Linked DNA regions of Diceros bicornis minor. The protein of the gene in region 2 binds, or shares a complex with, the protein of the main gene of each other region. Links are inferred from orthologs where the notes say so. Each region holds a gene or a part of one and is shown on either strand. Other genes may lie near its edges.

Region 1 (7,670 bases), on a different chromosome or scaffold from region 2:
GGCCTTTGGAAAACTGCCTACCCTACCAAGACTCACACCATAACAAGTCCAGTTCATGAATTACCAGGGCTCTGACCCTGTCCAGGAGAAGACCAACTTAGGAAACCAGAGGAAGATCACAAGGCCACAGAGGGGATGGAGGGATTAGGTGGTAGGGAGGTATTTGGAGATGGTGTGCCAAGCTGAATGGTCAGCACATCCCTGGGCAGTGGAACAGCTGCCTTGCTCCTGCCCTCCAGCCAACCCCTTGACGTTCCAGCTGCCTTTTGATTACATCTTGTTAAGTCTCAGGAACAGAGAAAGCTCACATTTCCCTCACTAACATACAGTGTGATTTAATCCTATGGAGTCAAGGAGGGTTTATGGGTAACCTCCTTCTCTCTACAACTTAAATCCATCCTCAGCAGGCTTCTGTCAACCAAGCCCCATCCTCCAGAGACCTGACACCCCATCAGCATCTCCACCGCATCTTCTGTATCCTTTGTCCCTACCCCTAACTTCTCCATCAGAAAGTTTTTCCTTTTGTCTTCTGCTCTTGGCTTCCTAGGTACTGGGACTCACCATGGCTTTCCGGTCTTCCTCAGCCATCTTGAGGCGCTTCTGAGCCTCTTCATAAGCCTAGGAGAAGAAACCAAGAGTGGAGGGGTGTGACGCCAAAAGCCCCCAGGCCCACAGCCATTCCCCCTCCAGAATCACAAGGATCATTCAGATGTTCCCTAACACAAAGAAATGTCCCTTCTCCACGAGGAAGCTCTATGGCTACAGGTTCAGCAGAGACTCACCTTAGCCAGCAGACCCAGAGGGGTCTTCTCCTCATAGAGATGAACTTACCACTAGAGGCAGCCCCTTGTGTTCCCAGAGATCACTATCTGCAATCATACTCAACCTCAGTTTTGACCCAGAGATTTTCCTGGGATTTAGAGAACATGCAGACCTTCTTGTCTGACCGCTCCAGGACATTACGAGTCCGATCCTTGTCCCGCTGCCGAACCCGCTCCGCGAAGGCATCCCGTTCCTCCAAGTCCTGAAGGCGTTCTCGCTCTGTCCGCTCCCACTCATCCTCCGACTCTGGCTTCTCCATTTGCTGTGTACTCTCCCTGCAGCCCAGCCCAGAGGATTAAATAAGGGCATCCAGAAGGCATATCCCATCATCCACCTGCCCCATCTCTCATCCTATTTCTGACTTACCCTGTCTTTCTCTTTCCTTTCTCAGAAAATTCCTCCTCTTCGTCTTCCTCTTCCTCCTGACGTTTCTTCCTGAGGTGTTTCCGTTTTTTACGCTTCTTCTGGGGACTGCTCCCAGCCCTGCCCATGGTCTCCTCACTGCTCTCCTCACTCTCTTCCAGCAACTTATAAGATCGGTTCTTCTCCAGCAGGGCTCGGGCCTCTCGCTCTGCTGCCCGAGCTGGCTTTTCTACGACTGCCTTCCGTGGCACCTGTCAGGAGAGGAGGAGATGAGGGATGTGAGCAACTCCTGATCTCTGACCACCTACTTTACCCTGTTTTTAATGTAAGGATTGACTTGATCTTAAATCAGCCTTCATTCTTTCTCTTCCCCATGGCTTCACGCCATGTTCGTCAGAGCCTCTCAGTTTCCGAACGTCCTTTCAGTCATTCATTTAACAAACGTTTATTGAAGCCTGTCCCATGCACCAGGTACTTGTTAGGTACTAGGGATACAGGAATAAACAAAAGAGACAAGCATCCCTGCCCTTGTGGATTTTACATTCTCAAACCCAATTCTCAATTGCTCAGCCTCTGCTATTCCCAATGATTAAGTCATGCCTACACAAGGACTGACATGCTACTTTTGCAGAAGGCTGTCACAGGCCTGGCACTGTCTCAGACTCCAGGGATACCCTGGTAAACAAATTAACATAAAGTCCCTACTCTCATATCACTTACATTCTAACCTAATCTCCCTTGACAAGCACCATATGGGACAACCAGGTCCCATCCAGGCTATTTGCCATTCTCTGAACATGCTGAACACTTCCACTCTTCCTATATACTTCCTGAGCACCTGCTCTGAAAGGTACTCTGTTAGGTGGCAGGAATACAAAGACGAGAAATACACACTCCTGTCCTCCAGGAGCTCGCCTTTTATACTTTTACTCATTCCTCCTTCTCTACTTGACAAGCTCCAGGGAGTCTTTGGGCCTGCTTTTCCTGCTCACTACCCCCACCTCTTCTGCCCTCCCACAGCACCTCCCACACATCCCTTCTACGGCCTCGCTATTCACCAAGGTGGTCCATGGGCCGTCATCACCTGGAAACTTGTTAGACATGCAGAAACTAAGATCCCATCCCAGACCTACCAAATCGGAATCTGCATTTTAACAAAGGCCCTGGAGAAATCCTATGCATGTTAAAGTTCGAGAAACACTGCTCTATAGCACTTAACCCAGCACACTTAGCCCTCCTCGTTCTCCTCCCCTAAGCTGGACGTCCAGCACCCAGCACACTACCTAGACGACAACGGACAACGGATGAATGCCTGTAAACTGAGCTTAATTCCCCGATGCAGTTAGCCCAGCCTCACCTGGATAAGTAACCTGGGCCCCGTCCCTGCTCCACCCCCTCTCTCGCGGTTCCCACGCCGGCCCCGCCCCAGCCGCGCCCCACCCCTCTCGACACCTTGTTCCAGAGTTTGAGGGCGAAGTCCCGGGCCGGCCCGCTGAGGTCCAGGGTATCAGTGTCCCGCAGGCGCTGCACGAACTCCTCGGCCGAGGCGCAGCGCTGCGCGGTTCCGATCAGGAACTGGGCCACGTGCCGCTCGCTCAGTCCCAGCACCGAGTGCAGCTCGTCCTGCACCCAGCGCTCCAGCCCCGCCGGCGTCGCCATGGCGACCCACGCTCTGTTCTCTGCTCTGAAGTGTCTCCAGCAGCCGCCCTGGCGGCCAGGCCGGGCTGAGGCCTGGAGCCCGGGGCTGGAGCCTCAGCTCCTCAAGGGAGCCGCCTTAGGACCTTGGGATTCGGTTTCCGACACCTCAAAGCCGTCTTCTCGGACCGCGGAGGCCGGAAGCGGCCGCGCTTTTCCGGCCTGAGCACTACGGTGGCCGAGCGAGTTCAAACCTCGCAGAATCGTTATCTGAAGCTCGGGGGAAAACAATGTCCTCTCCGCCCCTACCGAATCTCTGTCGCCCCCTGATGGTCAGTTCGGGGGTGTTTCACTGATTCATTCAACTAATGCTGAGAGCCTAAGGTGTGCTAGGCAATTTTTGTCGCTAGGGATATAGCAAAGAACAAATCAGACAAAAGTCCCTCACCGAGTTTACATTGCGCGGGGTGGGAAGGAGGCAAGATACATAATAAATAAAACATGTAAGTTCTATGGAGCCAAAAATAAGGCAAGATGTATGTGTGTTGGGGGGGATTCCATTTCAAATCAGAAGATCAGGTCCCGCTTATTAAAGATTAGCCCATGCTGATTAGGAGTGACCTTTGGACTGGTGCCTGCAGCAGGGTTGAATACAGGTTAGGCATAAGCGAGGACCTCCAGGCCAGGAAGTTGGGATCTGGGGGAAAAACAAAGGTGCCCACTTTTCTTGGTGCTGTGTCAGAAAGTCATTTTAAAAGCTCTCCGACTCAGGAAAATGCAATCTCTGTTCTGCTTCTTTTTTTGAGGAAGATTGGCCCTGAGCTAACATCTGTTTCCAGTCTTCATCCTTTTTTTCCTTTTTTCTCCCCAAAGCCCCAGTGATAGTTGTATGTCATGGTCTTACATCCTTCTAGTTGCTCTATGTGGGACACCGCCTCAGCATGGCTTGATGAGCAGTGAGTGGGTCTGTGCCCAGGATCCGAACCAGCGAACCCCAGGCCACCCAAGCGGAGCGCACGAACTTAACCACTGTGGCACCAGCCTGGCCCCGTAGTATGTTCTGCATTTTCGCTAACAGCTTGAGAAATTCACTGGTGGCTGCTTATTTAAAAACAAGCAGAACTTGTTACTTGACTCTCTACTATCTGACTTCTTTTTACCCTGCTTCATACTTTTTTTTATGATTAATTGGACTTAGCAGACACCTGTTGGGAAATGAATCGTTGTTATTCCAATGAGCAGCCACAGGTAGCTCCATATCACTGACTTCATTGACTTCTTGGATGCATTGTTTTATTTCTCAGATGGACTGTGGGCACCCCTGGCATCTCAGAGCTCCCTGCCTCCTCTTTCCTGGGTCACAACTGTTTAGGATCTTTACCTAATTAGCTACTGATATAAGCATTGTTTCCCTCCACACCCACAGCTTCTGTGAACTGCTTCTGTGAACTGGTTCATTCTTTTTTTTTTTTTTTTTTGGTGAGGAAGATCAGCCCTGAGCTAACATCTGATACCAGTCCTCCTCTTTTTTGCAGAGGAAGATTGGCCCTGGGCTAACATCCATGCCCATCTTCCTCTACTTTATATGGGAAGCCGTCACAGCTTGACAAGCGGTGCGTTGGTGCGCGCCCGGGATCCGAACCTGTGAACCCTGGGCCGCCAAAGCAGACTGCGCGCACTTAACCGCTGCGCCACCAGGCCGGCCCCTGAACTGGCTCATTCTTTTGACAGCTTGCTTGTTCTCTTGCTAGTAAATTAAGGACCTTCAGCATATATTTAAGATCAATTTGTCTAACACATTTTGTTTTTGGTAAAGGGGAGTCCCCTCTGACTAGGCTGAGGAGCATCCTGTAGTGGTAGAAGGACTAGGACTAGTCAACCATGCCTTTACTAGCCTGCAGAACTAAAAAAATGACCTGATAAATAAAACATAGGTCTTCTACATTTGTAGAAGATAGAAATTCTTTGAAATGAGAAAATCTCCCAACATCAACTATACTTGGGTAACAAAGGCATGAATTATTGATAGTTCTTAAACCTTTGGGAATATAAAACTCATTGTCTATCAGAGACCCCTTTTCAGGAAACTGCACTTCTAAACATACTATATTTTGCAGCAATTTCAGATTAATTATTTATGGTCTCGGGTCTTGGAGTAAATGCCTCTGAATTAGCTACTATCACACACTAGCTGGCTGCTGGCATTGCTATAGGCTTCTGAATACTGGTATCTTTCAATTTATTTTTTTTTTTAAAGATTTTATTTATTTATTTTTTCCCCCAAAGCCCCAGTAGATAGTTGTATGTCATAGCTGCACATCCTTCTAGTTGCTGTATGTGGGACGCGGCCTCAGCATGGCCGGAGAAGCAGTGCATCGGTGCACGCCCGGGATCCGAACCCGGGCCGCAAGCAGCGGAGCGCGTGCACTTAACCGCTAAGCCACCGGGCTGGCCCGGTATCTTTCAATTTAGAGTGTCCTCTGCTTCCAGTTTTTTAGCTCTTTTCTTCATTTATTTGTTCAGTCATTCATTCTAGAAGTAATTTTGTGTGTCTATTAGGTGCCAGGCGTGGTGATGCTGCAGTAAACTCAACCAACATGGTCTGCCCTCATGGCACTTCCAGTCTGGTGGCTACAACCTGCCCTTCCTCAAACCAGTCCTTCTCCTGCTAGTCCTTCGAGAAACCAGTGCAGGGCTCTCCCAGAGCCCTTTCTACATGTCAGCTCTGAGTTCTTGGTTCATCCTCATCATTTTCCCCTCCCACCGCCCATCGCCACTTCCCTCTCATGGCCAACAGGAAGATGGGAGAGGCTTGGAACGAGGAACACAGAGTTTCCCCCGCATGCACTTTTTTTTCCTAAAGAAGGAGAAGCAATGGGAAAGTCAGAGAGAGCTCCATTTTATTAGGGACAATTAAAAAAAAAAAAAAAAACACAGGCAATTGATAAGGAAGGAGAAATGAGGGAGGAGAGTTGAGGTGCCTCGTTAGTCACCCCACATCCTTGCAATTCAATTCAATTGAGAACCACTAGGAGAAACAGAATTAAATAACTAGATGGGAGAATGGAGTTAAGATCCCCAGCCTTCCCTCTTGGGGAAATCTGAGGCACAGTAATACTGAGCAAAAATGGAGGAAGCCACACCCCAAGGTCACTCCCAGTGAGGCAACAGCAGGGGACAGGGGAGAGGATTCCACATAGACACGGCAAGTAGGCGTGGCTTGTAAACCTGGGACTTTGGCAGGTGGGGCGGGGAGCTGGTGGGGTTTGTAATCCAGGCTGCAGTCAAGAGAGGAGGCAAGAGCTGTAAACAAAGGGGCAGTGACCTAAGGAACAGGATGAGAGGTGACTGGAAATGGAGTGGGGGCCAGGCGTCTCAGGGAGATGAGTGCTGAAATCCTGAGAACCTCAGGGGGTGGTGGGGAGACAAGGAAGGTTGTAGGGCGAGTATACCCTGCCCATGGAGATGGAGAGGGTGCTCCATCTCCATTCCCCAGGGAGCTCTGTGCTCCTCCCTGGGAATTGGTGCTCACTCTTGGATCACCTAGGATACACCCACACGCCTGACGCACTCACACCAGGGACCTGGGGTGAGGGTGGAAATTGGGCGATTGGCTCTGCCCCCAGAAACAGGATGAGGAAAGCGAAGTGGAAGATGTTGGTTGCCCTTCCCTGCCAGGCTCATTTTCAGGGTCTGTCTGCTCTGAATCTTCTGGGCTCCAGGATCTTCAGTTCTGGGAAGGAGCGAGGTATATCTCTGTGTTGGAAGACGGTCACCTCCGGCAGGACTCATCTGTGGGAGAGGAGGCAATAATGACAGAGAATGAGTGAGGCCTCTGCTCCCCACCTTCCCCACCCTCTCCTCACACTGAAGGCCAGTTGGCATATGGGAAATCTTATAACATCTTCCACATCTTGAGTGCTTGTTACTACCAGCAACAGCAGCCATCATTCATTTAGCTCGAATTCTGTGCCAGGCTTTTTTTTTTTTTTTTGGTGAGGAAGACTAGCCCTGAGCTAACATCCATGCCAATCCTCCTCTTTTTTTGCTGCGGAAGACTGGCCCTGGGCTAACATCTGTGCCTATCTTCCTCCACTTTATATGGGACGCTGCCACAGCACGGCCTGACAAGCGGTCTATCGGTTTAAGCCAGGGATCCGAAACTGGGCCGCCAGCAGCGGAGCGCACGCACTTAACCGCTACACCACGGGCTGGCCCCAGGCATTCTTATAACTCGTTTAATCTCACCTCAGGCGAGGTTAAGTAACTTGATGTCCAGCCATAGTTCCTAGGTGCTTCACAAACATTACTTAACCCTCTCAACAACTCTAGGAGGTAGTTATTATTAACCCTATTTCATAAAGGATAAACTGAGGCCTGAGGTCACGTAATTTCCCTGAAGTCACACCACAAGTAAGAAACAAGATGGAATTCAAACTCAGGCCTGTCGGAACCAAACCCTGTGTTTTTAACCACACTAGAGCGCTCAGAAAGAATCTTGGTTTTGAAATCTGGAGACCCCACGTGCACTTCGCTTCCCAGGACCTCAGTTTCCCCATCTGTTAAAGGAGTGGCTTGGGCTGGATGTCCTACCAAGCCCCCTCCAAGCGCCAACTCAAGTTCCCCGCTTCCCTCCTGGGCCGCAGTGCCTGCTCTGAGCACCAGGGGGCGCCCTCGGGCCGGCAGAGCCTGTGCTCACCCACTATCAGGGCCTTGGTGCGCAGCCCGCCCTGGAGCTCAGGCTGCAGCAGGAGCAGCTCTTCCTCATCCTCTTCGTCGTCGGGTTGGGCCGCTGGGGGGCTGGCGGCACTGGGGGCCTCAGGCTCCGGGCCCAGCTCCTCCAGCACCGA
Region 2 (7,781 bases):
ATTAATAATCTGCATAACAATTTCAGCTTTCCCTGAATTATACCCTCAACATTTATGAAGGAGCATAATAATAAGAGAAACTGCCATTTGGATATTTCTGATTCTCTAAACCATTATACTGGTAGTCTAGCGTTTAAGATTCAGTGCTCTCACTGCCATGGCCTGGGTTTGTTTGCTGGCTGGAGAACTACACCATCTGTCAGTCAGTTGTCATACTGTGGCGCCTGCGTGCTGCTGTGATGCTGAAAGCTACGCTACAAGTATTTCAAGTATCAGTAGGGTCACTCGTGGTGGACAGGTTTCAGTGTAGCTTCCAGACTAAGACTGACTAGGAAGAAAGACCCGGCCACCCACTTTCCAAAAAGTGGCCATGAAAACCCTACCAATAGCAGTGGAGCATTGCCCGATATAGCGCCGGAAGGTGAGAGGATGGCGTAACAAGATGGAACAGGGTTCCACTTCACTGTATATACAGGGTCACTAGGAGTCGGGATTGACTTGATGGCACTAACAAAAACCATTATATAGCTTAACCTTCAATCCAGACATACAGATCTTAAAGTTATTATAAGCCACAAAATTGAAATCAGGAAATTATAATTGGTAGTAAAAGATTACACACTTATTGTACATGTCTAAATACAGAAAAGTAAAAGTCTCCCTTTTTAACTCCCTCTTTGTATGCAGGGCTATTCTTCTACTACATTTTTACATGCGTTTATAAGCATATGCATAAACTTTGTTTTTACATAAATTGGACCATACTTTAACGACTTCTATGACTTGTACTCTCATTTAGCAGTTTATACTGAAGATATTTCCATGGCCACATATATATATTTTGCTATTACAAATCCATTATGCAAATCCTTATCAATACTAATTGTTACCAACCTTCTATCTCTAGGACAATCTCTAGGAAGACAAATTAGATGGCTAGAGTAGTATATAGGTTAAAGTTATAGTAACCAAGACACAGGAACAACAAATAGATCAACGAAACAAAATAGAGTCCGGAAATAAATCTACATTTATTTAGTTGATTTTCTACAAAAGTGCCAAAGCAGTCCAACAGGCAAAGGAAAGCCTGTTCAACAAATGATGAAATCCATAACAACATGGAATAATTAAAAATTCATATAGAAAAAATGAACCTGGACCTCTAACTCACACCACTTACCAAAATTAACTCAAGATGGATCACACCTAAACATAAAAGTTAAAATTATAAAGCTTTTAGAGAAAAACAGGAGAAATCTTCACGGTTTGAGAGTAGGCAAAGGTTTCTTTGGCAGTACATAGAGAGTAAGAACCATAAAACCAAAAGCTGGTAAATCAAGACTTCCTCAAAATAAACTTTTGCTCACCAAAAGACATTACCTACTAAGGAAATGAGCAAACAAACCACAAACTGAGAGAAATTATATCTGACAGAGGATACATAAAGAATTCCTACAACTCAACAATAAAAAGAAACAACACAAAACAAGACACTTCACAAAGACATACAAATGGCCAATAAGCAGGTGAAAAAGTGCTCAATATCATTAATCATTAGAAAACTGTTAATTAACACCATGAGACACCACTATACAAGGACTAAAATGGCTAAACAGATTGATGACAACAAATGCTGGTGACGATGTGGAGCAAGTGGAATTCTAATACACTGCTGGCGGGAGTGTAAAATGGTACCGCCTTGGAAAATGGTCTGGTAGTTTCTCATGAAACTAAACGATTACCTATGCTGTGATCCAGCAACTCCACTCCTAAGTATTTACCCAAGAGAAATGAAGGAAAAAAACACAAAACTTACACAAGAATGTTCAAAACAGTTTTACACAACATACGTAACTCTTAAATGCACAATGGACTACTATTCACTAATAAAAAGGAATAAATTAGCGATACACGTCACAATGTGGACGAATCTCAAAAAAAATATGCTGAGTAAAAGAAATTTTACACAAAAAGCAGGCATACTGCATGATTCAAAATATATCAAATTATAAATATATGAAACTATAAACACATTCAAACTGGCAGGTATCGAGAAAATGTACTTTAAATTCTGAGACTTTTTCTCCAAAAGTTCTAGCTCAAACAAAAATGGACTAAAAATTAACCTTAAATGCCTTCTCTACAAAGTCCACCCTGAATAAAATATTGACGGTTTTATATGTTATTTCAAACATACTAGAAACTATCTACTTGTCTGTCTTCATCACAAAACATAAAGTTCCAACAAGGCAGGGGCTCTACCTTCTGAAAAAAATTCCAGTATATCTCAATAAAGCTGGAAAAAGACCAACTTATGAAGTCAGAAGTCCAACCCCGATTTTAAAACATTTCGGAAATGGGTTTCGGTATTTCCAGATAAACTCCCGCAACTTCTAAGTACTCTTTTTAAGGGCGACGTAAGTTTCATCACGAAAAGCGGATCAACTTAAACTACTTTCGCAGGAGCATATAATTTTCCTTTTCTTTGTCTCCCACGTTCTCAGGGAGCGTGGACATAGCTATATTTGCCGGTTCTGGGAGCTGAAAGGAGCCAGAAAAGTAACCTAGACTAGAACACGAGTTGTACTCGATATAAAAATCGGTAAGGAACCGAAACTACGAGTTTGTAAGCCTGGCGCTGCACCTTCAAGGCCTCTAAGACACTAGGTGAGAAGAAACGTCTCGGCCTTACGTCTACTTCTTGGAAGACACGCGGGATCCCCGCGCGATTCAGTCCGAAACCCACGCGCGAGCGCCCGCGGCCTAGATGGGGCGGGAGCGGCGGGCGCCGGAGGCCGTCAGCAGGCCGCGCGCGCACGCGGCTTTCGCGCCTCCCGGAACTGGGGCAGCCCGGCTCCCGGCCCAAACCGTCCGTTCACAGCTCCCATCCCGCTTGGTCACCTCCTCACCTCACAAGCTTCATGCTAGCGGCGCCGTCGCCCTTTCGATCCGAGAGTGCACGCAAGGCCACAACCAAGCGCCAACGGACTGGGAGTATGAATGGCCGGAAACGCCTACTGCCGGGGCTCCGACGCAAAGAGCGCGCTGAGCACTGCTTACGCACGGCGGAAACGCCGAGGCCGGCTGGGCCGCACTCACTTCCGGCGCGAGGGTCGCCACAGCGCACTCTGGCGGCTGGAGGTGTACCTTGCGACTGCTGAGGGCGTTAGGACTAGTCTAAAAGGAAATTTCCCGCAAGAGGGAGATTTGAGGAGATTAAATCCAATTAGTAGGCCTGTCGCCGTCGCACTTCGCCACTACAGGGCGCCATGTGTTATGCAGCACTAAATATATCCCTGAACGAAGGGAAATTCTGAGAGAAGCCCAAAGGATTATGCTAATTCTGCTCCAACACCGGGAACCTCAGCATTACTTAATGTACCTGAAGAAAATCACACGATTTAGCTGATTATTTTTACCTTAAATTCTGACCACAAACCTCAAAGAGGTACTACTCAGAGACTGTGTTATGCTTCTATAATAATCTCACAAATTAGTTCATATCTTCTTTCTTTCCTCCTTCTGAAACCTTTTACAGGCCATCTCCCAAATCACTCTCTGCTAATGTTTCATACTTTTTTAAGAAAACAGAAGCCATCCTTCTGCTTTCTTTCCTATCGCAAGGGTGGAAGCATTGTTGCTTCTTTCAAAGGTAAATTCTTTTTCATTATAGCCTGGATCCCATCTCTCATTTTCTCAAGAATTTTACTCCTTCAGTTATCCCCTTCTAACTTGAATCATCAATTTCTCCTTCTCTACTGAATTTTTTCCATCAGCAAACAAATTTATCTTAGAAACAAAACAAAGTTCTCCTTTGCTGCAGCTCCAGCTACTGCCAGACTTCGATCACAGAAAAAGTTCTTGAATGAGCTGTCTACACTTATTTTATCATCTCCAATTCAGTCTTCAAACTACACTGAAATTGCTTGTCTAATAGTTATCAAAACCTCCAAGACAAACATCTATCTTCATCTTACTCAATATCTCAGAAGCATTCAACACAAACACTCCCCTTTTGAACACCCTCCTCTCTTGGCTTCCAGGACGCCAAGCACACCTGGTTTTATTCTTATCCTACTAGCTACTCTTTCTAGGTCTCCTTAGCTGCCTCATCCTCTACTGAGCCATCACATGTTGGAGTGCTTTGGGGCTTTCCCTGGGTGTAGTCTCCTTATGGATACTTTGGTCTTTAGCCTAGGTGATCTCCAAAACCACAGCTTTAATTTGTATCTCCAGCCTGGACTTCACCTCTGATCATCAGAAGTCTTGGGTATTGTAAGGCAATGCTCATCATATTTTAATATGCATAGGAATCACCTGGAGGAAACTTTAGAATGAAAATTCTGATTCAGTTGGTGTGGGGTCCGAAATTCTGCATTTCTAACAAGACTTTAGTTGATGAAGATGCCCCGAGTCCATGGACCACAATTTGGGTAGCAAGACTGTAATTGACATTTGTGCGTTGTCTTCTCAATATGTATCCTCTTCTCTTCCCAACAGTTCCTAATAGTGTCCTGGTGATCCATGTGGTCCTAAGGAAGCTGACTCTACCCTTAACTGTCACTCATTACATTCCACTACTTGTCCACAGTGGGCTTGGGATGTAAGCTGATCCAATCAGACCTTCGCAGGGAATACTCTTCCCTTTTGGATGTGAATGGAGAGGTAGTAGCCTCTGCAGTTTGGGAACTCACCTAGAACCAAGAGAAAAACCAGTCTTAGGAGAGACTTTTAAAAAAAAAAAAACTCATGATGATATTAATGAGCCCCTGGATTAAAAACAATGCCTAAATGTGCCAATTTAAATTAAAATTAAATAAATAATTATATTTATGTTTTATATATATTTTATATTTATTATATATATTTAATATGGTGTGAGACTTGTAAGGATTGCTATGCTCTGGATCGTGGCCACAAAACAAATATAGGGGAACAGATCACTCAGAAGCAGAGGCCTATTTTGTGGGAATGGAAACTTGTAAATATGGTTTGTGTGTGTGTATGCCAGAATTTAAGTTACTGAAGATAAAGTGGTTTACACATGGAAAGAAATTACACCAGTTGTCTGACAATCTAAAGGTGAAAGAAGATATAAGTCCGATGCTCTGGTAGATAACCAGCTTCAATCAGGTCAGCAGTCTACTCCTGACTTTTTTCCCAATTTAAGACATTTGGCATATGTCATTAAAGAATATACCTATAGGGCTTATATATATATAATATACCGCGTGGCTTAGCTGTTAAGTACACGCGCTCCGCTACTGGCAGCCTGGGTTGGGATCCCGGGAGTGTACGGACGGACCGCTTCTCCCGCCATGCTGAGGCCGCATCCCACATACAGCAACTAGAAGGATGTGCAACTATGACATACAACTCTCTACTGGGGCTTTGGAGGGAAAAAAAAAAAGGAGGAGGATTGGCAATAGATGTTAGCTCAGAGCTGGTCTTCCTCAGCAAAAAGAGCAGGATTAGCATGGATGTTAGCTCAGGGCTGATCTTCCTCACAGAAAAAAAAAAAAAAAAAAAAGAATATACCTATATTAGGAACTAGAGGTGGGGGAGGCAGTAGACAGGCTTTTGCTAAGCAACACAACCTACGGTGATGTGGGTAATGGCCTCACCTATTTTGTTTTTTAAACCATGGAATCTCCCCAGACTAAAGTAACAAGCAGTTCAATAAAGTTTTGTGGAAAATGTCAGAAAAACATCAGGCTTCTCAGAGCACATTTTGGTTGTACCTGGCTTCAAAAAAAGAGGTCAGGAAGGGAAGAACCTACCTATGATCACCTCTCTTTAGATTCTCAAAGGCAAGAGTAGCGTTTATCCATCCTCATATATCTGCAAAAAAGGAAGGAGTAGCACAGAAAGCGTTCAAAAGCAGTGTGGCAACCACGATCCTAGTGACAGAACGCTGGATTCTATCTTTAGAGGCTTCGAAGAGCCAAAGCTTTATCTGAATACCGGCCATGACTAAATCTAGTGGAACATTATACAAGTTCTTGTCGACGCTTGTGCTTTGGTGCACAAGGAGGAAAGTGTGCACGGAGACGGTGAAGTCCTGCATTTTTTGGAAGCGAGGGAGTGCAGTGCCGCGGAAGGAGAGAGAGGGTCAGTTATCTCCTTTTTTCGTTACATTGGTCCATGTCGAAGATTAAAGGTATGTAACCTAGAGGTCGCAGAAGAGCAGTACCCGCAACCAACAGAAGAAGCGGGGGCGACGAATTTCCACGACAAACCACCACCGCTGGGGGCGTGGGTGTTATTATTCCATGAGACGACCGCGGGAAGAGCAAGAGGCCGCCGCCAGGGGGCGCCGCCGCTTCCCCGCGAGCAGCCCACCCGCGGTGAGCGCACGCGAGGCCTCCCACCGCGCCTGCGCCGAGGATGGACGCAGGCTCCCTGTTCCCCGACGCCCAGCCGTCCCGGCCGGGGTGAAAAACGGAGTGACACGCAGCGAGCGTGGCGGCCATCTTCGTCTTCTGGGTACGTCAGCTGAGCCGGTTAGGGCTGAAGAGGAACGTTGCGCAAGCGCGCCCAAGACGGTCGCAGGTAACTCCCATCTGACCGGCGAGGCGTCGCCGTCGTCGCCGGAAGTTCGGCGTTTCTGCGCCGCGGGAGAGGCGGCGGTCGCGGCAGAAGCGGCTGAGTGTCTCTTGATACCCGGATGTGAGGCGATCTGCTGGCTCGCGTTGGACCCTCAGCCGGGAGTGAGGAAGGTACGCGAGCGTCCCGACCGTCCCCACCGCGTGCTGTCGCGCCGCCTGCGTCCTCGCCTCCCTTTCTCCAGCCCCTCCGGAGAGCCGGAGGGTTCTCCCCCTCCCTGTCCCCCTTCTGTGTCGCGTTGTCTCGCACGCCTCTTCCCACTTCTTTGGTCCGGGCTCCTGGCGCCCCTGGGAGGGGTGGGAGGCGACCAGCCTGCGCGTCTCGGCTGCCCAGTCGTCGCATCACCTGCTGCTACTTGCCGGGCGGTCAGAGGTAGTGAAGGGGCCGTGACCGCGGACAGGCGCAGGCCGGGGCTCCCTAGGCGGCCGCGAGGGTTCACAGAGCGCGGCGGTCGCTTGCAGCCGTTGCGACTACTGGGGCGGTGAGGGCGGCGGCCCGCAGGTAGCCCGGGCCTTGTCCCCGCCCCCGGCGTCCCTCTCTCCCGGCGTCTCCCCGGAGCCAGCCCCACCAGCCGGCGCGGAGCTGCCGTCCCTGCGGCTTGCTCCCCTGCCCCCGCCGCCCCTCGCTGACCCGGCCTGAACCCTCAGGCCTCTGCAGTCTGCGCGGCGGGAGATGGGCATCTTGGTTCCTCAGTCTTTAGCCTGGGAGGGGAGCAGTGGCCCGGCTCCAAGCTCATAGAGCAGTTCGAGTTGGGCAGGGGGCGTCTGGGCACAGGTAGGGCTGCTCTGGCGTAGAAATGGGTGTATTGAGGGCCGTAGTGAAGTTTATAGAGATAGAGAGAAGCGAGCAGAAGGAAATTGGTCCTCGATTTTCATCACTATTCATAAGGTTCTTTTACTACAGGGGTTTGTTTTACTCAGGCAGAATGGGATAGCAAGTCCAAAAATTAGAGAACTCTCCCACCCCCACACCCCCAACCTTCCCCTCCCCCACCCCTCAATGTTAAGTTCTGAAAACCGAGCAGGTACGGTGTTTTCCGAGAGAGGAGGGCGCAGCAGGGAAGGAGGAAGGAGTTAAATCGTTGAGATTTGAGAAGTGCTGTGAACCTTGTTTTCTGTAGCCTTTGGATAGTTGAAATGGATTAACTGCAGCACAAAGTATTTCAATAGTATCAT
Region 3 (7,298 bases), on a different chromosome or scaffold from region 2:
TACTATCCTCACTCTTGTTACTATTACTTACTACTGATTCCTACCCATTAAACCAATCTGTATTCAATTCAATTCTGAAAGCGGAAATAATGGTCGATTATAATCAATATAATTTAGCCATCATTTACATTTTATATTATATATAAATTACAGAGCAATTAATTTAATCAAAAGCATTAAATGTTCTTATTATCAGTTCCTTGATGTGACCTGAGCCCTAAGATTCCTGGCTGTTTTTAAGTATCTTTAACCTTAAAGTTTTGTCTCCACTAATTTCCTACCAATTTAGTAATAATTACATTGAGGTAATAACCTTCCGATCCAATCACTAGCGTCAGTGGATAAAATTTCTATTTTAAGGTAATTTCAACAGGCAATGTTTTCGCATATATCATTTTACTGACTCAACAGTACTAAAACTGCCTTAAATTAAAAACTGAGAGATCCTCCCTCCCCATTCTTTAATTTTTAACATTACTCACAACTCAGTGACATCTTCCAGTACCATATCTGAAATTCTGTGTTAAGAAAATAAATATACCAGGTTGAATTTACTCTGGCTTCTACCTCTGTTCAGTTTTACTTATAACGTCTAACACAATGACTCAAATTCAAAATGCTTGTGATTGGTAGGTAGGTAGGTAATCTTCTTCCAGCACAAACAACTTTTAAAACACTATCACAACGTCCCTGAGAATTAATTTTTTTGTGGGTGTGGGTGAGGAAGATGAGCCCTGAGCTAATATCCATTGCCAATTGCCCTCTTTTTGCTGAGGAAGACTGGCCCTGGGCTAACATCCGTGCCCATCTTCCTCTACTTTATATGTGACACCGCCAAAGCATCGCTTGACAAGCGGTGCGTCAGGCAGCACCTGGGATCCGAACCCTGGAACCCGGGCTGCCAAAGCAGAGCGCATGACCTTAACCACTATGCCACCGGCAGGCCCCAAATTAATTTTTATTATAATAATCAGTAAATACTGTCTATAGTTCTTTTGTTCTTAAATACTGAAGAAAAACCCATACCACCACCACCTTTTAAAAGGATACTGACAAAGTCATCAAATCCTAGAAGCGTGCCAACAATTTCCTTATCACTCTTCATCACAATGTGAATTCTTGATCCTATACACTTGTCCACAAGTTCTATGGATATATTTTTTTAAAGAAAAAAAAGGGAGGGAGAGGAAAAAGATTATTTTACCAATGCATTACTTCCACAAATATCTGAGTGCCTACCAGAACTTATTACTTGTATATGGTGAAATACAAACCAGGAAAAGAATTCATTCAAAAACTTTAGATCTTATACTATATACCTCTACATTAACAAAAAAGCTCTCCCTGTTCTCCACTTCCCTTTTGTAGCAATTTATCATGGCTGTGGTTTTATATTATTTTAGATTATTTGATTAACATATGAACCCCTCTAGACTCTTAGCCCCATGAGGGCAGATCATTCTACCCTCAATGGACAGTGCCTGGCATATGCTGGGGATTCAAAGTTTGTCGAATGAAGGAAAAAACTTTTCAATCACGGCCACATCCACTAACTAAATCACTCTTCAGCTACAAAATCGTAGGAAGAGACAGGCATAACTGTCTTCACCAGAGATTCCTTCTTGTCACTACCTCCCTCACCCTAAGAAGTCTATCCTCTGTACTCTGATAGCAGCTCGAACATCTCTTTACCGGGCTTAGCGTTATTTGGTATGATGTTTATTTGTTCAGCATCCTAGCTCCTCCATTGGTTTGTGTGCTATTCGCAGGCAATGGCCGTGATTTAAATTTGTTGAATAGCGGGGCCTACCCAGTGGCCTAATGGTTAAGTTTGCGTGCTCCCTTCTGGCTGCAGGAGGCGAGCGGGGGGGGGGGGGGGGGGGGGGGGGGGGGAGACGCGGCTGTGTTCGCGGGTTTGGATCCCTGGCACAGAGGATGCAGCGCTTGTCAAGTCACGCTGTGGCGGAGTCCCACATAAAATAGAGGAAGATGCAGAGGGATGTCAGCCCAGGGCCAATCCTCCTTAGCAAAAAAAGAGAAGGATTGGCATCCGATGTTAGCTCAGGGCTAATCTTCCTCTCTCTCTCTCTCTCACACACACACACACACAAATTTTGTGGACTTGTGCCGGGCCACATTGTCTGGTGCATAGATGCTCAATAACTGTTTGCTGAATGAATGAATGACAAATAGAGCTAGTTCCAGATTCTTTTTTTTTTTTTTTTTTTGGTGAGGAAGACTGGCCCTGAGCTAAGATCCCTTGCCAATCCTCCTCCTTTTGCTGAGGAAGATTGACTCTGAGCTAACATCTGTGCTCATCTTCCTCTATTTTGTATGTGGCACGCAGCCACAGCATGGCTTGATGAGCAGTGCGTGGGTCCACGCCTGGGATTCCAACCCGGAGACGCTCAGGCCGCCAAAGCGCCGCGTGTGAACTTAACCACTAAGCCACCGCCACCGGGCTTGCCCCCAGATTCCTCTTTTAAGGCTCATTCCAGACCCCGGTGCTTCTCGCAGTAACTGGCCAGCTACAGGACAGGGTGCAATCTGGGGAGCTTACATGCCAGGTTGAGGAACGGGACTGAATCCCATGACTATAGAGGTGAGCTCACAACGGAGGCGGCTGGCGACGCATTCACCAAGTGTGAACCTTTTCCAGTGGCGGTTTGGTTTGGGGAGTCACAAGTCCCTGCCTCAAGGAATCCTACCACGCTGAGGAGACGTGGGCGGCCTGAGGGCGCAAAGACTTAAAACCAGAGACGAGCCGCGGAGAAGGAAAGCAGTTGGTCCGATACATTTTCCTAACGCTCTCACACGGGCAGCCTCCCCCGCAGCCCCTGGGCCCCCAACCCTAAGCTTCAGCTCCCCGCCCGCGCGCCCCACAGGGCAACTATTACCTAGAGGCAGCAGCTGCGACGGGTTAGTGGTAGCGTTAGCAGCCATGGCTACGCCGGAAGTGGCCTGCGTCCATCGACGTTGGGTCGGCGAGTTTGAAAAAGCACGCTTCCTCTTTTTCCTCCCCCACGCAGCCCGGGCAGGCTCGACCAATCTGCGGCCGAGCGTGCGATCGGTCCAGTCCGCGTGGATCGCGCCCAGTTGCTTCTTTCCGGGGCAGTGAGATCGCGAAATATTTCTTATCCACTGAGTATTCTGCTGTGTCTGCGGCTACTCACTCACTCTCCCTTAGAAATTTTCGGGAGACCGTTAAAGATGTTCTGCCTTGTGAATAAATTCTTCCTCTAACCCGGAAGACTTTGCAAAATACGGAAACTTTTGAGTCGTCTTATTTTCCTCTATAAAGTTGCGTCTTAACCCAAGCCAGGATCTTTCTTCAGACGCGTATGAATCAATTTGTTTTTCCTGCCACCAACTCACTGTGTTGCAATTTTCGTAAAAACCGTTCAATCTTCAAGAATCTACCTTTTCTTTTAAAAGTCCAGTGGATTGAAAACGCATAACCGGCATTTTTTAAAACTTTTCTAGGGTAGAGATTTAAAATATGTTTTCTCTTTATTTTTTACTACTTTAATTCATCGTTCTTGTCTTGTTATATCTAGGAGTCTTAGTTTCTTACAGACTTCGTATTCCGTATTTCTTCAACAAACATTGTCTAACAGGCAACCACCAGATGTCACTGTATGTTAATGTCATCACACTTAAGAAACCTTAATACTTTTGCACTTTTGTTTTGAAAAGAATAGAAAGCAAACAAATTCTCTGCCTTAGTCTATTTTCTATTTGTATCCTAGGAACTTAAAGCTAAAGACTGTGAACAGCGAAGGCCAGAAAGAACATCATTCATACAACAAATGTTTTTAAAGCACCCATCATTCATTCAGCAAACAACTATATATTAGTTGCACACTATTTGTCTGGCATTTTGCTCAGTATAAAACAGTGTACAGAACAAAACTACAAGGTCTTCTGCCCTTTAAGGAGCTTAAGGATGAGTGGGAGAGAAAGACAACAAACATTATGTACAAGGTACATGAAATTTAATATATAAAGCAAAAAGACCTTTTTTAGCTTCAAGAATACTAGACACGTAGGTATGATTTAAGGGAAACATCAGTGAGGAGGTTCAGAAGCTCTTACAGAAGGGCCTTTCAGTTCAAAGCACCCTAGAGCTCAGCCTCCTTCTAAATACCAAGCCAATCCTGGCTTTTTTGCATATTTAAATATTGAGCGCCTATTATATGCCAAGAAACTGACAGATACATTTATTCCTAATCTTTATGACTATCCTTTGAGACAGATGTTAGGATGAAGTTCCTCATACTCAGAGGTTAAATAATTTGCCCACTGGCCACATAGATAGCTTGGGAAGCTTTACAAAGGAATTGACAGGAATCTAGTCTTGGAGGATGAATAAAATTGGATAGGCAGAAAAGGGGCAGGAGCAGCATTCCAAGTAAAGGGAATACTGTGTGCAATTGGCATGTGCCCACCTCCGAACATCTCTTGCACTTCAATTTAAATCTTACATACTTTCGGTAAGTTTGGCGTAAAACCCTTCCCTTCCCAAATGTTTTCCCTTAATAACCCCAGTCCTTAATGATTTTACTTTATTACACTTAGGATGCTCTGGCCCCCAGTTCTAATAAATCCTGCTCATCCTTCAAGACCCTGCTCAAATGTGACCATCTTTGTGAAGCTTCTCTGACTTGCAGACCTGGTGGGCTCTCTCATTATCCAGCAAGGATGTTAACAGCTCTCAGAATGCTCTCAATGTATTCTCTTATAATTATGTATCTACAGGGTTACCTCTTCCCCAAAAAGACTGTGAATTCCTGAAAGTCAAGAATTTTGGGAAGCAATATAGTGATTAAATCCATTGGTTCTGAAGTTAAATCACTTTGGTTCAAATCTCATCTCCACCACAATGCCTTCTAGTTATTTGACCTTGGGCAAGTTATTTAACCTTCCTAATTCTCAGTTTACCCATAGGATAATAGTATCTACTGATAGGATTGTTGTGAAGATTAAATGAGATAATCCATGAAAAGTGGTTAGCAGAGGACTAGCACATAGTGCTTATTCATTAAACGTGAGCTGTTATTGCTTATTTATCCATGTTTCCTAATACTCAACATGATGGTTGGCTTAGAGTAGGTGCTACAAAGGCTAGCATTGCTAGCTGGTGGTTTCATGTTTATCTTATTTTTATAACCAGACATAAGCCACTTTAAGACAGCAATTTCTTTCTTTCTTTCTCTTTCTTTCTTTCTCTCTCTCTCTTTTTTTCTTTCTTCCTTCCTTTCTCTTTCCCTTCCTTCCTTTCTCTTTCCCTTCCTTCCTTTCTCTTTCTCTTTCTTTCTTTCCCTTTCCCTTTCTTTCTTTCCCTTTCCCTTTCTTTCTTTCCCTTTCCCTTTCTTTCTTTCCCTTTCCCTTTCTTTTTCTTTCTTTCTTTCCCTCTGCCTTTCTTTCTCTTTCCCTTTCTTTCCTTCCCTTTCTCTTTCCCTTTCTTTCTTTCTCTTTCCCTTTCTTTCTTTCCCTTTCCCTTTCTTTCTTTCTCTTTCCCTTTCTTTCTTTGCTTTTCTTTCTTTCCTTTCTTTCTTACTTTCTTTTCTTTCTCTCTCTCTCCCCCCGCTTTCTCTCCCCCCCTTCTCTCTCTCTCTCCCCCCTCTTTCTTTCTTCTCTCTGCCTACCACAGTTCCAGGTGTACTGTAGGGTCTAATGAATGTTCTTTAAATTGATTCTATTTCATTCATACCCATCAACATCCCCCTTAATCTTCATAAGATTCTAAAGACAAAGTAATGCCAAATTTTTTTGTAAAGTCCTTTTCTTTTCCTCGTTTTTCTTTTCTATCTCTATTCTTATTTTATTTTCACCATACCATAATGAGGGTAGGGACCAAATTCAAGGCATTGTTGCTACTTGATAAGAGTTTAAAATTCAGAAAAACATGCTTTTAAGAAAGTCAGTACTTTAAATTTTCCATTACAAGAAAAAAATGAACATTAGCAATTTTCAATACTATTGATGAAGAATAAAGTAAGTCTCTTTATACTCTGAAAAAGGAGATAATAGTTCATTTACCCAGTAAAGTTAATGGGGATTGCAGGAAGGGAGTGGTTTTATTTTACCATGTTCTTTCCTGAGGCAAGACGAAAAAAGAAACAATGGGCCGATTCTAGATGGAAAGTTCATTTTTAATGAACTTGAAAACATGTCATAGCTCTGTCTCCAGGGTTTTTCTCCCTTTAGCTCTTATAGAGCAGACATAAAATAGGATTTACAAGTCATCATAAAATACATGTAACTAGAAAAGACTCTTCAGTGTATTATATGTTCAGAAAAGTGTTTCTAATTTTTTCCCTGGAGACAAATGTCATCATAAAAATACAAACAAAAGTTTCCTTTCAAAATAACATTCAGAAAGTATTCTGTTATGTCAAATTGTTATTTCCAATCTTGATAATCTCCTTCTGACACTTTTTAAAATAAAGGAGAAATATCTATTTTTTTCTCAATAGATATTTGTCTTTATAGACAATATCTTGTTAATGAATTTATTCTATAATAATACAACTTATTAAAAACTACTGTAACAGTTGTTATTCTAAACTCTTAAATGGACCAGTCTGTATATTTAGAGATGGAAAAAATTCTGGAAATTCCCTTGCTTACTTTCTTGCCCAATTTTCCCAGTAACATATCCTCTTTGTTTATAGCATTTATTTTAAGTAATTTTTTTAAACATTTAAGCAACATAATAGTTATGAATAAATGATTTAATCTTTGTTGGAAGCTCTAGGATGCAAAGTGACACAGATTTTTATAAATCTATTACTGGGTCTCCTGCACAATGAATTAAGCAGTTGGTGTTCACTGTAGATATAGAATTCTAAGATGCTCTGCCCTTACATATTTTTTAAAAGATGTTCAGTTAGACTTTAATTTTAGCTATGCCAATTGTGGAAAATATCAAGGCAGATGGAAGAAAACAGTAACATATTACGCATACAGGGAATAATATAGTTTCACACACAGTTCTGAGCCAATGCCAAGAATTTTGTAATATAAAAAAGAAATTGTAACAACATCTTGAAAAATTTCTACAGTATTTTTATTGGCACTAAAACAATTCTACTGAATCATAGAAACCAACCTTGATTACAGGAAGCCTATTGTTTTTCTCAGCTCTACTTAGATTAGAATGCAGGTCCTTAAATTTCAAGGCCAGGATAATAACTGCTAAGGTTGTCTAAACTAAGGGATGTGCAACTAGCGATGGTAAACTTCACAGCCAAGTATTGTAGTAATCTCGAATTCTGTTTAAAGCGGGCACCTAT
Region 4 (6,978 bases), on a different chromosome or scaffold from region 2:
CTTCTTAGCATGAGCATAGAAGATGATATGGCTATATGATTAAGAATCTGAGCTCGAGACGCATTATTTACTGTCTCCATTATTTACTGTCTGTAGGAACTTGAGCAAATGGGTCAGCTCCTCTGCACTTCAGTTTCTTTGTCTATAAAATAAGGCTAATAATAGCACCTACCTCATTGGATTATTGTGACAGTTAAATGAACTAATGAATATAAAGTTGTTAGAGGGCCGGCCCCCTGGCTTAGCAGTTAAGTGTGCGCGCTCCGCTGCTGGCGGCCCGGGTTCAGATCCCGGGTGTGCACCAACACACCGCTTCTCCGGCCATGCTGAGGCCGTGTCCCACATACAGCAACTAGAAGGATGTGCAGCTATGACATACAACTATCTACTGGGGCTTTGGGGGGAAAAAATAAATAAATAAAATCTTTAAAGTTGTTAGACAGAACCTGACACATAGTTTGTGTAATTAATCATGTGACCCAAGGCAGATGACTCAACCTTTCTGAGGCTGAGTGTCTCATCAGTAAAATGGGGATAATAATAACACCTATCTTGTAAAGCTGTTTTGAGGATTAAATTAGCTTATTTATTTATTAACTCTTCATTTTGAAACAATTTTAGGCTCATGTGGAAGTTGCAAAAATAGCACAGAGCATAAAAATAAACATATAGATCATTGGGATAGAGTTGAGAGTCCAGAAACAAATAAATGGTCAGTTTATTTTTGACAAAGTGTCCAAGACCATTCAAAGGGGAAAGAATAGTCTTTTAAACAAACGGTGCTGGGACAACTGGATATCCACATGCAGAAGAATTAATTTGGACCCCTATTTCACACCATACATAGAAATTAAATCAATATGAATCATAGACCTACATGTAAGAGCCAAAACTATAAAACTCTTAGAGGAGCGCCGGCCCAGTGGCTTAGCAGTTAAGTGCGAGCGCTCTGCTGCTGGTGGCCCAGGTTTGGATCCCAGGCGCACACTGACGCTCGCTTGTCTGGCCATGCTGAAGCTGCGTCCCACGTACAGCAACTAGAAGGATGTGCAACTATGACATACAACTATCACAAACATACAACAACAACAACAAAAAACAAAAAAATAACTCTTAGAGGAAAATGTAGGAGCATATCTTTGTGACTTGGGTTAGGCAATGATTTCTAAGATTTGATACCAAATCTTAAGCAATAGAAGAGAAGATTTGATAAGTTGGGTTTAATTAAAAACTTTTGTGCTTCAAAGAACACCATAAAGAAAGTGAAAAGATAACTCAAAGAATGGGAGAAAAATTTTGCATATCATATATATGACAGGGAACTTGTATCTAGACTATATAAAGAACTCCTACAACTCAACAATGAAAAGACAACCCAATGTTAAAATGGGCAAAGGACTTGAAAACATATTTCTCCAAGGAAGATATGTACGTATATATATAGATAATATATATGTAGTATTTTATTACAACAAGGATGAATCTCAAAATCATTATGCTAAGTAAAAGAAGCCAGTCACAAAAGACCACTATTCTATGATACCATTTATATGAAACGTCCAGATCAGGCAAATCTATAGAGACAGAAAGTAGATTAGTGGTTGCCTAGGACTGAGGAGTAGGAGGTGGGAGGAAACGGGGAGTGAGTGTTAACGGGTACAAATTTTCTTTTCGGGATGATGAGAATGTGGAACTAGATAATGATGATAATTGCATGACTCTATAAATATACTAAAAATCATTGGATTGTATACTTTAAACAGGTGAACTTTATGAAATGCAAATTATATCTCAATAATGTTGTTTAGAAAATAGTAAAGAGATTTCCTGTATACTCTTCACCCACTTAAGAATTTCTTTTCTTTTTTTTTTTTTTTGTGAGGAAGATCAGCCCTGAGCTCATCCATGCCAATCCTTCTCCTTTTGCTGAGGAAGACCGGCCCTCAGCTAACATCTATTGCCAATCCTCCTCCTTTTTTTTTCTTCCCTTTTTCTCCCCAAAGCTCCGGCAGATAGTTGTATGTCATAGTTGCACATCCTTCTAGTTGCTGTATGTGGGACGCTGCCTCAGCATGGCCAGACAAGCGAGCGTCGGTGCGCGCCTGGGATCCGAACCTGGGCTGCCAGTAGCAGAGTGCATGCACTCAACCGCTAAGCCAGGGGCTGGCCCAAGAATTTCTTACATGACAATAGTAGGACAATAAAAACCAGAAAAATGACATTGGTACAATACTATTAAGGAAGCTATAGAGAATATTAAGATTTTACCAGAGTTTATAACAATATCTGGCACATAGTGAAGCTTACGCAGGTGGTAAGGACTTCACTACAATGACGATGATGAACATAATGATGATAATGTACATAATAATGATGATGCTGGACTTTCTACTGTAGCCAGATTGATCGGCTGCTGTTTTAGAGCATGCCATGTTCGTTTCTCTTTCTAAACTCTAACTGTAGCAGTTTCCACCACCTGGGATTCTTTTTTCCTTACTCTTTCCTTATCCCATCAAATCCTTCACATCCACGCATCTCCACCAAATCTTTTTTTTTTTTTTGTGAGGAATATCAGCCCTGAGCTAACATCCATGCTAATCCTCTTCTTTTTGCTGAGGAAGACCAGCTCTGAGCTAACATCTGTTGCCAATCCTGCTCCTTTTTTTTCCCCAAAGCCCCAGTAGATAGTTGTATGTCATAGTTGCACATCTTTCTAGTGGCTGTATGTGGCCTCAGCATGGCCGGAGAAGTGGTGCGTCGGGTGCGCGTCTGGGATCCGAACCCGGGGCCACCAGTAGCGGAGCACACGCAATTAACCGCTAAGCCACAGGGCCGGCCCTCCATCAAATCTTTAAAAGGCAAAAGATTTATTCCATCTGAAGAGAAAAAGACGCATCATCAAATCTTTAATAATGCTCCTCTCCCTCCTTTGAACTGTAGAAGCCTCCATACCAGCCAGCACTTGCCTGGACTCTCCTTTGCATTTTCCTCTAGTTATTTCACCTATGAATCCTGAATTCCCAACTAAACTGAGAGGCTATATGGGTTTCATTTCCTCTGCACCTTCCACAATAAACTTGGTGTGAATTCAAAAAAATTTATCCTTAAACTAGATTCAAAGTTGTTACCAAAGGATAGAGCAAGAGAGAAAACAAGGATGGCAGGAGATGGAGAGCAATTCAGGCAGTAAGACAGGCAGAGCCTGAGGGAGTCAAGAAGCATTTATAGGGTGTCTACTATACACTCCATAGTGTAATCATTGCCAGAGAGAGAAAAGAGGAACGGAGGAGAGGAAAAAGACACCCAGCAATGTTGTTCCCCAAGGCCTCTTTTATTTTTCTAGGTTCATTGACTAACTCTTCCTTGACTTCGCAGGCAGGATTAAAATGCTCTGCCCCTGAACTCCTGTACAGGGAGTTCACGCGGCACTGTAGGAACCTGGGTTTTTGCCTGCCTTCCCGCTACCCTGTGAGCTCCGTAATGTTGGCTTTTTCCCTGCTGTATTCCCAATCTCTGATACATAGCGGACGCTCAATAAATGATGGTTGAATGAACGAATGAATGAATGCATGAACAAAGGACTGATTGACTCAGAGCTACTATTGTACCCCAAGTCTGCATTTATGAGACTAGACACAGAATAATGTGCAAATTTTGACAAATTTATTAAAAATCTGGAAGCCTGGGTCTTTGACTGTCCGACGCCAGTCACGGATAACAGTGCGAGGTCGCCTAGAGACCGGAGACAGCCCCTGAAACGCGGGAGGCGGAGCTTACGGCTCCTCCGACCACACCCCTTCGCGTTCAAATCTTTCCGCCTATGGACCCGCCCCCTTCAGCCCGAAATGCAACTCTAATTGGTGAGCTCTGTAATCCATCTGAGCTCTTCGACGTCTATTGGATCCACTACTGAACTCCGGTTGCGCACTTCCCGGTGTTGGGAACGCAGAGCGGACGTAGGCTTGCCGCCATTGCGCTGCGGGGAAATCGGCCGACGGTGTGAGGGGCTTTGGGGGTGCGTGAGGGGCTTCAAGGGCCGGGCTGCGGGGGGCGTGGTTGGATCGGGCTGAGTGGCCCGAGGGATTGGGCAGTACGCACTCTGAGCGAGGCGGGACTGCAGGCCGGGGTTCTCGACGTGTTCCTGCTGCGCCTCTTGTAGGCCCGGGCCTTGTGGCTTGTTAATTTTTCCCTTCCGCCGCCCCCCAGATTCTCCGGGCATGGCCGGAGTATTTCCATACCGAGGGCCGGGTAACCCGGTGCCCGGCCCTCTAGCCCCGCTGCCAGACTACATGTCGGAGGAGAAGCTGCAGGAGAAAGGTGAAGAACGCGTGCAGGCCTGGCTACTTGGGGGCGGGTGTGCGCGTGCGCGCAGCGGGTTTGAACCCTTTCCCCGTTTTGGCAAGTGTCAAAACGTTAGGTGTCAGTTCCCTTATTAGCCCCATTTATTTTTTCGTCTGATCAAGTCTTTAAAAGCGTCTGTTATTTGCAGGCACTGATCCAACCAATGGGGATACAATAGTGATGAAGACAAACTCCTGCCCTGATAAGGTTTAAATTGCAGTGAGGGAAATAGACAATAAAAACTTAAAAAAAAAAATCTGTAACAAAAACGTCAGGCAGTGATAAATGTGATGAAGGAAAAAATAAAGCGGAGTGAAATGACGAGAATTGGCAGGGAGCACTCCAGCTGTACGCACAGCTCTCCCTCATCCAGACAGGAGCTTACCCTAGGGCAAGAGGTGGGAATGATTAGGCCAAGGGTGTGCAGTCCTTTAAACTGAGGTGTCTTTGTAGCCCGCAAATGGCAGCAATTGCAAGCCAAGCGCTATGCAGAAAAGCGGAAGTTCGGATTTGTGGATGCTCAGAAGGAAGACATGCCCCCAGAGCATGTCAGGAAGATCATTCGAGACCATGGAGACATGACCAACAGGAAGTTTCGCCATGACAAAAGGGTCTACTTGGGGTAAGGAGCATCCTGGAATTATTTCATTTGGAGCTTGGCCCCTTTCCCTTCTCCCTATCTCATAGGTCACAGTCCTGGATAGCTGCTCTGTCATTTTGGGACAGGCATCTTCTGTGACAGCCCATCTTGGTGGTTATAAGAGAAGAGGGAAAACCACTAGAATTCTGTGATAATTTCCAGATCTTCCAGTTATATTCTTTATTGCCCTAATTTTTCTTCTTGGTCTGGGACTGGAGCTTAATTTGTCCTGTTGGTGCTATGGTAAGATGTTCCTATTTTTGAATGGATTGGAGCCCAGAGCAGGACACTTTGTACATTCTTGTTGCCTGTAACTCCTCAGTGACCAGAATTCTGAGGTTCCGGATGTTTAACTCCTGAGGTGTCTATAATCTTGTTTTTCTCTGTCCCCAAGCTGATTGAGTATAGGTACAAATGCCTTAGCAAATCCCTTTTCTGTTTGGACACAAAAATGTTAGCCACTTAATGAGCTGGTCTAAGACAGACATGGAAGTTTTGTTTATTTCAAAAAAAAAGAAAAAAAAAGTGTATATATATGTTTTTTGAGAACTGTGCTAGGTGCTAGGGATATAGCAGTGAACAGGAAGTAATGGCCTTTTTGGAGCTTACGGTCTAGTGGCATGACAGATATGAGACAAATGGTTACAATAAAGTATGGTAAATATTGTATTATTATTTATGGGACGGTACAGAGAGAATAGAATGTGTGACAGCCTAAAAGCTGTCTTTAGAGGGACAGCTGTTGATTTAGAGGGACTGAAACCCAGTATTTTGGGACTGTGAAGTTTAAGAAGAAGAGTGACATAATTGGAGAGGGAGAGGCAGAGTTGCCGATCATGGCGGGCCTGTCTATGTTTGGGAGTTTGGACTTTGAGGCAGGGTTTTCCGTGGAATGTGATACTATGGTACCGTGTGGCTTCTGTGCACGGCACAGGTAACAGCTAACACTTTGTCATTTCTAATCATCTCTCTTCCTAACGTTGCAGTGCCCTAAAGTACATGCCCCATGCAGTCCTCAAGCTCCTGGAGAACATGCCTATGCCTTGGGAACAGATTCGAGATGTGCCTGTGCTGTACCACATTACTGGAGCCATTTCCTTTGTCAATGAGATTCCCTGGGTCATTGAGCCTGTCTACATCTCTCAGTGGGGGTGAGATAGTGCTGGAATATAACCATGTGTGGTGGTGGTGGTTGTGGGGCAGTGGGTAGAAACCATTGTGTGACATTGTTGGCTTCCAGGTCAATGTGGATCATGATGCGTCGAGAAAAAAGAGACAGGAGGCATTTCAAGAGGATGCGTTTCCCCCCTTTTGATGATGAAGAGCCGCCTTTGGACTATGCCGACAACATCCTAGATGTTGAGCCTTTGGAGGCCATTCAGCTAGAGTTGGACCCTGAGGAGGATGCCCCTGTGTTGGACTGGTTCTATGACCACCAGCCACTGAGGGACAGCCGGAAGTGAGTGACAGTTGGAGTTAACACTCCTGTGGGAGTTTTGGAAATCCACAAGGAGTTCTGGGAGAACAACGGGTAGTGTGGCTTGGCTAGCTGGTATACCTCCCTGATGCGGGCTCTTCTTTTTTTTCCTAGGTATGTGAATGGCTCCACTTACCAGCGCTGGCAGTTCACGCTGCCCATGATGTCCACTCTCTACCGCCTGGCCAATCAGCTCCTTACAGACTTGGTGGATGACAACTACTTCTATCTGTTTGACCTGAAGGCGTTTTTTACCTCTAAAGCACTCAATATGGCCATTCCTGGAGGCCCCAAATTTGAACCTCTTGTTCGAGATATCAACCTACAGTAAGTTGGAGAGAATAGGGATTTTAGGCACCTTGGGTTGAATAAAATCTACTCTTGATCCTTAAGATCTCCTTGTAGCTTCCAAACTCTCCAACTAGTCTGCTCATCCTTGATTTTGTACCGTAGGGATGAAGACTGGAATGAGTTTAATGATATTAACAAGATCATCATCCGGCAGCCTATCCGCACTGAA

The links.
Region 1: SNRPD1 (region 2) and DHX16 share a complex: the UniProt entries of both Homo sapiens proteins name them as parts of the minor spliceosome. The link is inferred for Diceros bicornis minor from reciprocal best matches to the Homo sapiens genes SNRPD1 and DHX16.
Region 3: SNRPD1 (region 2) and LSM5 share a complex: the UniProt entries of both Homo sapiens proteins name them as parts of the U4/U6-U5 tri-snRNP complex. The link is inferred for Diceros bicornis minor from reciprocal best matches to the Homo sapiens genes SNRPD1 and LSM5.
Region 4: SNRPD1 (region 2) and PRPF8 share a complex: the UniProt entries of both Homo sapiens proteins name them as parts of the U4/U6-U5 tri-snRNP complex. The link is inferred for Diceros bicornis minor from reciprocal best matches to the Homo sapiens genes SNRPD1 and PRPF8.

Annotation. Positions count from the first base shown.
Region 1 is NC_080753.1:34,433,344-34,441,013, reverse strand, and holds the start of DHX16 (pre-mRNA-splicing factor ATP-dependent RNA helicase DHX16), read right to left. Parts: upstream 3,021-7,670; 5' UTR 2,845-3,020; coding exon 2,638-2,844; intron 1,437-2,637; coding exon 1,189-1,436; intron 1,098-1,188; coding exon 935-1,097; intron 619-934; coding exon 562-618; intron 1-561. Other genes in the region: PPP1R18 (phostensin), read right to left, coding at 6,593-6,612, 7,520-7,670. UniProt on the Homo sapiens protein: Required for pre-mRNA splicing as a component of the spliceosome. Contributes to pre-mRNA splicing after spliceosome formation and prior to the first transesterification reaction.
Region 2 is NC_080755.1:13,552,481-13,560,261, forward strand, and holds the start of SNRPD1 (small nuclear ribonucleoprotein Sm D1), read right to left. Parts: upstream 3,019-7,781; 5' UTR 2,924-3,018; coding exon 2,910-2,923; intron 1-2,909. UniProt on the Homo sapiens protein: Plays a role in pre-mRNA splicing as a core component of the spliceosomal U1, U2, U4 and U5 small nuclear ribonucleoproteins (snRNPs), the building blocks of the spliceosome.
Region 3 is NC_080742.1:56,561,660-56,568,957, forward strand, and holds the start of LSM5 (U6 snRNA-associated Sm-like protein LSm5), read right to left. Parts: upstream 3,006-7,298; 5' UTR 2,944-3,005; coding exon 2,898-2,943; intron 1,147-2,897; coding exon 1,051-1,146; intron 511-1,050; coding exon 483-510; intron 1-482. UniProt on the Homo sapiens protein: Plays a role in pre-mRNA splicing as component of the U4/U6-U5 tri-snRNP complex that is involved in spliceosome assembly, and as component of the precatalytic spliceosome (spliceosome B complex).
Region 4 is NC_080757.1:16,065,461-16,072,438, forward strand, and holds the start of PRPF8 (pre-mRNA-processing-splicing factor 8), read left to right. Parts: upstream 1-3,964; 5' UTR 3,965-4,015; intron 4,016-4,206; 5' UTR 4,207-4,217; coding exon 4,218-4,317; intron 4,318-4,794; coding exon 4,795-4,963; intron 4,964-5,967; coding exon 5,968-6,132; intron 6,133-6,221; coding exon 6,222-6,440; intron 6,441-6,572; coding exon 6,573-6,785; intron 6,786-6,911; coding exon 6,912-6,978. UniProt on the Homo sapiens protein: Plays a role in pre-mRNA splicing as core component of precatalytic, catalytic and postcatalytic spliceosomal complexes, both of the predominant U2-type spliceosome and the minor U12-type spliceosome.